2 linked regions of the Xenopus tropicalis genome follow. The protein of the gene in region 1 interacts with the protein of each later gene in a biochemical or structural test. Links are inferred from orthologs where the notes say so. Each region holds a gene or a part of one and is shown on either strand. Other genes may lie near its edges.

Region 1 (3,826 bases):
CCAACCTGACTGTCCCTTCTCAGCCTGTCAGTTACAGCTTCTAATGCTAACGGCCTCCTGCTGCACCAATATGGCCGCCCCCTCATAGAGGAACATGGGGGATCTGATAAGGAATGTAAAAGCATCAGGCAAATACTTTTATGGCAAAATTATTAAGGTCATACAAATACAATGTTATGATAGATGTAAAAAAGGTTTAATTTCTGGTGTCAGTATCTCTTTAAATAAACCCAATAGACCTCACACCTACACATCATGTCACACATTTTATTAACTAAGCTGTTGTTGCCAAATATTTTGCATATTAACATAACGTATTAACATACCGTAAAATAAGTCAATAAGAAATCTGTCTGTTTCCTCAATGTTCAATGGCGCCACGTGCTCTGAACCCTCGTTTAACAGAATTTTCCTTTTTTTCTCCTCCTCATAAAATTTCCTAAGATGTATTAAGGAGTCGGTCATGCGAATGGTGTCATTGATCTGCAGGGCGTCATTGTACTTCCTTAGATGTTCAGCACACACGTGTTCCTTGCGTTTTCCTTCTTTGGCAGCTGGATTCAAAGCAGAAAAAAGAAATTCGGGTTAAGACATATAGGGCCTGATTCACTAAAGGGCGATAAAACGTGCGCTATTTTTATTGTGCGCTAAAATTTTTACCGCGGCTTAATTTTGGCGTTTTTTCGCACGATTCACTATAAGCATACTTGCGCTTTTTTACGCGCGATATTGCATGCGTTATTTAACTCGCGAAAGACTATTTCAATGCGGTATTTGCCGGTACATGCGCTAAATTACGCGAATAATCGCCGCATATGAATGGTAGCATAGAAATAGTGTATAAATATTGTCGCCGCATATAAATGGTGTATATAAATATTAGCCACATATAAATGGTATCATATAAATAGTAGATGCTTATAAATAGTAACTGCTAGTGATGAGCAAATGTGTTCTGGTTTCTTTAGTGAAAAATTAGCAAATCTTTCGAAAGATCCACGAAACGGCAAAAATGTTGTGCGGGCAAAAAAATTGTTGCCCGTGACTATTATTTTTTGACACTTGTATCAATTTTTGGATGTGCGGTGAAGTTTTGCGTGGCAAATTTTGTAGTAGGTGTTAATTTTCGCATAGCCGAATGCGATATTTAGCGCGCAAAAGTTATAGTGAATCATGCGATCGTATTCTTTTCAGCACGGAAATTAACGCAAATCGGTAAAACTAGTGCGAGAAATACCGCATGCGAAAATGGCGATTTTTCGCACGCGATAATACTATGGTGAATCGCGCGCAAATTATTTTGCGTTTTTTAACGCGAAAAAGCGTGCGATAATTTTTATCGCCCTTTAGTGAATCAGGCCCATACACTGTAATTTAACGATATTAAGTAACAGTGACATGACTGATGTAGCACTGGTAGGAATGATTCTCAATGGAGAATACTCTTGCAATAGCAATCAGGTGTGGAATACCTGCTTTGTAGAGCTTGGGGGAACAAATAAGGTTTTGGGGAACTTTTATGTCCTCTTTTCCAGAGTGATTATTCTTATTTCTTTCTGTAGGGGTGTACCGTACCTGTCTTATCTGTCTGAATAACCCATTGCTCATAAGACTGACTTCCATGGTCAGATGTGGGATACAGCTTGCTATACTCCTCAATCTTTCCCATGATCTCTTTTAATTTGTCTCCGAATGGATTCTAAAAAAAAAATCACACATCATAAGAAAACTCAAGCAGCACAAGGATGCATTTCCTTCTAAACATTGCCTGGACCACAGTGGTAAAGATGTTTTTCTATTCCAAAGTTTTGGGAATAGGGTTTCGACTTGAATAACTATGTTCTTAAATGAGCCCCCTAAACACCTATTTGTAAAACTGGTTTGTTAAACATTTTTATAGCCACCACACTTTAAAGAGATGAAAGATCTCTGCGGACATTATAAGTGACAGGAAGAATACCAGTATAAGATACCCATAACAGGCATGTCAGTTCAAATGATTTTTTTTGTGTGTGTGTGTTAAGGGTCCTTTTTAAGCAGAAGCTCTGAATGACACAGTGACCCAAATACTTCCTATTGTATTTCATCAGAACTTACACCTACATCATGATAGGAAGAAGACTACAATAGAAACCAGGGCAAGATACCAATAATGGGGATGTCAGTTCAAATGAATTTATGTCGCTTTTTCCTGTGCTAAGGTTCTGTTTAGGCAGAGTTTCTGAAAGGCATGGTAACTCAAACGCTTCCTAAATGTCCTCAATTTGACAGTCTTTTAAATGAAGACAAATCCGTACCTTCTTCTTTTCATCTGAAATCTTGACCTCCTTGTATGGATCTTTCACTTGCTTTCTTAGCTGCTCTGCATTTTCTTGCACGGTCATGATTTTGAAAGCATCCATGTTTGCGCATATCTGATATAGCAAAGACAAGGCTGTTATTGGCTACTAGACACCAACCTTCTGTTGGGCGTTACTGATAAATGTGATACAAACTTCCCAATGAACAATCCCACTGCACCCCCTGCTCTTATTGACAAATACAAGAGGATTCTCCAATGAGAACTAATCTTCACCCTGTCTTTCAAGTTCCATGTTGACAGTTGTAGAAAGAACCTGCTTCTCTGTGGTCCAGTGGAGATGCCCTAAAGTTGCAAAGAATGCCCTTCTTGTAACCCACAGCAACCAATCACATGTTTTGGTACAGTTTGTACTGTTCCTTGTTTACCATTTATCTATGTTGCTTTTCTAAAGTTAGCCCACTTCACATAGGAAGGGGGACTCACCAAAGCTCCTAAAATGTTCTGGTGTCCATCTTAACGATGGATGCCACCATACTCTGCGCTTATCTATAGTAGCTAAGGGGTATATTTATCATGCTGTATAAAAAGTGGAGTAAAACATCACCGGTGATGTTGCTCATAGCAGCCAATCAGATGCGTTGCTTTGATTTTCTAACTGTTGAAATCTAATTGCTGATTGGTTGCCCTGGGCAACATCACCGGTAATGCTTCACTCCACTTTTTACACAGCATGATAACTATAGCCCTTAGTGTTCCAATTTTCTTGTTGCACCTACTTTGGTGCATGAGGCCCATAAAAGTTCTGTACAATTGGCAAGTAAGAACAGAATAATTTTGGGGTGTTTTAACCTTTAGGCACTCACTGTTGGGCCAATAAAGTCATGTAATTGATAAGCTGATAACTGTACGCACTTATTAGAGATGTCCTCATATTTAGTTTCCTTCTTCATTCAGTGGAAAGTTTGCTACATAGTCATATTACACAAAAACCTTTTACCCTCAGAATATGTTCTTCTGACTTTTTAATGTTCTTGGCCCCTCCCACTCCTGGCGAAGCCGTAAGTCCAAGTATTTGAGGCAGTGGAACCTGTGCCTTTTCCATCTTGCTGTTGCGTTTGTTTTGCATTTTCTTTTTTATATAACGGATCATGATATTATTGTACACAGCATCCTTTTGAGTGTGATGGCATTCATCAATAATAATGAGGGAGAAATCTGCATGAAAAAAAACAAAAAAACATTGTTTTTTTAATTAAAACCGCCATCATTGTATGGTACCATAATACCAGTGTTTTCCCAGAATTTCATATAATGAGAGGCTATTAGAAAGGTGAATTATTCGGTGGTCTTCTCCAAAACGTATCCTTATTTGTGTTAGTAGTGAAGAGGACACAAATAGGGATAGTTGCTCAAACCATTGGCAACCTCTAACATGCACAGCACCAGGTAATGAAGAAGCACCCATGTTCTTTGTTCATAAGCAGAGTCAGACTGGGTCGGCTGGACACCAGGGAAAAATCTGGT
Region 2 (4,328 bases), on another chromosome or scaffold:
TCACATGACGTCTGCACAAGAGGTAAGAGATAATGTTTATTTACTTTATGTTCATGGGTGGGAGCTGCCATGTGGTTTCCTCTTGTATAGTACTACATAAGGCCATTGCTTTTTGTATGGCTGGAATATTCCTTCGTTATATATCTGTATTTATACATGTGTCTCCAAGCTGCCATATTATTTTCCATAACTATACGCCCGTAACAAGCGCTTAAGGTGTTACTTACTTTAATATTTCCAGTGAGCTGCTGGCGCTTTTCAATCGCTGCCCGTATTTCCTCCTTTTGATTGGCATTGCCAAGTAAAGACTTCCTAAGCTGCTCCTAAAGCAAAGGGTGGATAATAATATATCAAAAGTTCTCATCACAAACCATAATGTGATAATAAAGATACTGCAATGTGGATTGCCGCTATGTCTTTTAGAGGTACATCTTGCTCCTTTATAGTGTTCTCTGACTGTCACTTGCTAATTAAATAACCCTGTACCCAAACTGTGCCCTCCTTCCCACTAGGGGAGCATGGAGCAGTGGCAGCCTGGAGCCCAGTTTGGGTTCAAAGTTCAAGTCAGTGGTGTTCATACCTTTTCCATTATCTGCCTCCCACAGACCTTCCCAAACTTGTTCTGCTCTAGGCCTGGGCTTATGTGGCCTTTATACAGATCCTGGCCTTGGAGGAAGCCCATATAGATGCCATGAAGACAGACTTATTTTAGGAATGTTCTAGGCCTGAGCTTAGGTGGCCTTTATACAGATCCTGAAGGAAGCCAATGTAGATGCAATGAAGACAGACTTCTTTTAGGAGGAATGCTCTAGGTATGGGCTTATGTGGCCTTTATACAGATCTTGGCCTTGGGGAAGCCCTTGTAGATGCCCTGCGCCAGGGAAACACTGACGGGGTTGCCCTTAATAAAAACAAACCTCCCTCTCTTTCCCAATGAAAAAAGAGTTTGGGAGATGCTGAGTCACATTGTTAGAACAGATCCTGGCCTTGGAGGAAGCCCATATAGATGCCATGAAGACAGACTTATTTTAGGAATGCTCTAGGCCTGAGCTTAGGTGGCCTTTATACCGATCCTGGCCTTGAAGGAAGCCCATGTAGATGCGATGAAGACAGCCTTTTTTTTAGGAATGTTCTAGGTATGGGTTTATGTGGCCTTTATACTGATCCTGGCCTTGAAGGAAGCCCATGTAGATGAAATGAAGATATACTTATTTTAGGAATGCTCTAGGTATGGGCTTATGTGGATTTTATACTGATCCTGGCCTTGAAGGATGCCCATGTAGATAAAATGAAGATATACTTATTTTAGGAATGCTCTAGGTATGGGTTTATGTGGCCTTTATACTGATCCTGGCCTTGAAGGAAGCCCATGTAGATAAAATGAAGATATACTTATTTTAGGAATGCTCTAGGTATGGGTTTATGTGGCCTTTATACTGATCCTGGCCTTGAAGGAAGCCCATGTAGATGAAATGAAGATATACTTATTTTAGGAATGCTCTAGGTATGGGCTTATGTGGATTTTATACAAATTCTGGCCTTGGAGGAAGCCCATGTAGACAATCTTCTTCTGGAAAGACCTTGATGAGAATCAATATGTGATACAAAGCATCAACGCTACCCACTGTACTGGCATGCACCTTGATTAAACCCATTTTTTTTTAGAGACCAGTAGAAGTCCCACCAACATAGAAATCCCTAATATACCTGTAATCTGCTCCTCCAAAAAGTATGAATAAAAACCATTTGTATATGCTGAAATCCAGCTGCAAAACAGTTCTTCTCTTTCTGCATCATTTGGAATCCTGGCAGGGGAGGAGGGACTATAACACTGATGTTACAAATTGTATCAACTTCTCCACAGCTTACAGACAGCATGCAGGAACTACATAACCCACAATGCATTGCACTGTGATGTTCCTCTCCTTATTGACATCATGTGTGCAAGGAATTGTGGGATTGGGAGGATGCAGGCTGAAGGTAAGCTGAGGACAGGCGACTACTGTTACATTTTTTTTGAGTCACAAAGTAGCCAGCCAGATCAGCAGGGGAACAGGGGGCGGGGCTTAGGGAACTGTTCCAACCATATCATCATGGAAAGGCTGCATATTTTTTAATTGATATATATTGAAAAGTTGTTTGAAATTATGTTTACTTTTTTGGGTGGAGTTTCCCTTTAAGACTATAGGGCCCATGGTAAGTTTTGAAGGTGCCATCTCTTACCTCTTCCATCTGTCTCTTCTCCTCAATGGACTCCAGTGTATGATTGCGGCATTCCACCATGTAGCATTTGGAACAGACGCAGCGCTTCTCTGTGCAACAGAACAACTCGAAGTTGCGGTTGTGCCGCTGACACTTTGTAGCTGGACACACGTTTCTCTTCCTTTGAATTTCCGGCTCTTGGGATACGTTCTGCTTCTCCAAAGCCCTTACTGTCTCAACCAAGTCGCTGAGATCCACATTTTTGGGGGTTTCGGGGCGCTCAGGAAATATCTTCCGGCACCGTGGGCAGGAGTAGGGAATCTGCTTCCGAACCTCTTGATCCCAGTGATCATTGATACATTTCTGGCAGAAATTGTGCCCGCAGGCCGTAGACACCGGCATGGTGAACAATTCCAGGCAAATGCTGCACTTTAAACTGCTTCGGATATCATTCGACGTGAAACCGGGGTCCGACATTCTCAGGCTGGAAAGACAGAATATTTACACTGACATATAAAATGCCTCAACAAGTACTGTGTAGTGCTAAGGAAAATCAATATAAGAGAAATGTGTGGCCCCAAGAGCTTACATTCTACTCAGGTGCAGGGCTGGCAGTCGTGCAGTAATCCAGGGAGGAGATCAGACCAGAGAAGTGTCTGGGAAACCGAAAGCAAACGGGAGTAAAGCAGCTGGAGGGAGGGGCTAGAGGAGGAGAGACAGGATTGGCTGAAACACAAGAGGAGAGGGTGGAATACAGAGTGGAGGAGCTGCCTGAGTAAAGGCATTTCATTCAATTAGTCTTTAAAGGTGTATTGTCATTTCAATGTTATTTTATTAGCCCTGTAATTGTATCCAACTCTAATCAGTGCTTCTGTCAATAAATATGTCATAAAAGTGCTTTGGTTTTATTCCATAGCCTTGCTGAGCTTTCTTGTTGCTTAGCACTCAAAATCCTACAGTGATATCAACAATGCAACTGTAACTGAATGCTCTGTTATACAGATAGCTAGAATCTCAGCCATAAAGCAGGGCAGGACTGCTGCTTACAATGGGGGGATCAGATAGGATCTGTGCCACTGTGACAGAATGCTCTGTTATACAGATAGCTAGAATCTCAGCCATAAAGCAGGGCAGGGCTGCTGCTTACAATGGGGGGGGGGGATCAGATAGGATCTGTGCCACTGTGACAGAATGCTCTGTTATACAGATAGCTAGAATCTCAGCCATAAAGCAGGGCAGGACTGCTGCTTACAATGGGGGGGGGATCAGATAGGATCTGTGCCACTGTGACAGAATGCTCTGTTATACAGATAGCTAGAATCTCAGCCATAAAGCAGGGCAGGACTGCTGCTTACAATGGGGGGATCAGATAGGATCTGTGCCACTGTGACAGAATGCTCTGTTATACAGATAGCTAGAATCTCAGCCATAAAGCAGGGCAGGACTGCTGCTTACAATGGGGGGGATCAGATAGGATCTGTGCCACTGTGACAGAATGCTCTGTTATACAGATAGCTAGAATCTCAGCCATAAAGCAGGGCAGGACTGCTGCTTACAATGGGGGGGATCAGATAGGATCTGTGCCACTGTGACAGAATGCTCTGTTATACAGATAGCTAGAATCTCAGCCATAAAGCAGGGCAGGACTGCTGCTTACAATGGGGGGATCAGATAGGATCTGTGCCACTGTGACAGAATGCTCTGTTATACAGATAGCTAGAATCTCAGCCATAAAGCAGGGCAGGACTGCTGCTTACAATGGGGGGGATCAGATAGGATCTGTGCCACTGTGACAGAATGCTCTGTTATACAGATAGCTAGAATCTCAGCCATAAAGCAGGGCAGGACTGCTGCTTACAGTGGGTATGGGATGGGTAATGCCAGTGGCTACTATTTAATTTTTGATAGGTTTTATGTGATTTGTAATGCATGTGTAGGGTGTATGGTGGATAAAGGCCGGTTATTCATTTAGTCCTTCAATAGAGCAGAAAGATGAACAGCACAGATAGCAACAATCCCAGCTTCCCATGGGAGAGTCTTGGGTCCTTCATACAGAAAGCGCGGCCTTAATACAAGTGTCACCCTCAGTGGTTTGCAGTACAGGTATGGGATCCCTTCTCCGGAAA

What was found.
Region 2: of the proteins of ifih1 (region 1) and trim65, one has a biochemical effect on the other in vitro, tested with the Homo sapiens proteins (2 studies listed by BioGRID, with this or other methods). The link is inferred for Xenopus tropicalis from reciprocal best matches to the Homo sapiens genes IFIH1 and TRIM65.

Annotation. Positions count from the first base shown.
Region 1 is NC_030685.2:71,936,811-71,940,636, reverse strand, and holds part of ifih1 (interferon-induced helicase C domain-containing protein 1), read right to left. Parts: intron 3,518-3,826; coding exon 3,300-3,517; intron 2,415-3,299; coding exon 2,298-2,414; intron 1,700-2,297; coding exon 1,576-1,699; intron 555-1,575; coding exon 327-554; intron 1-326.
Region 2 is NC_030686.2:44,879,190-44,883,517, forward strand, and holds the start of trim65 (tripartite motif-containing protein 65), read right to left. Parts: upstream 2,901-4,328; 5' UTR 2,792-2,900; intron 2,687-2,791; 5' UTR 2,680-2,686; coding exon 2,224-2,679; intron 324-2,223; coding exon 228-323; intron 12-227; coding exon 1-11. UniProt on the Homo sapiens protein: E3 ubiquitin ligase that plays a role in several processes including innate immnity, autophagy or inflammation.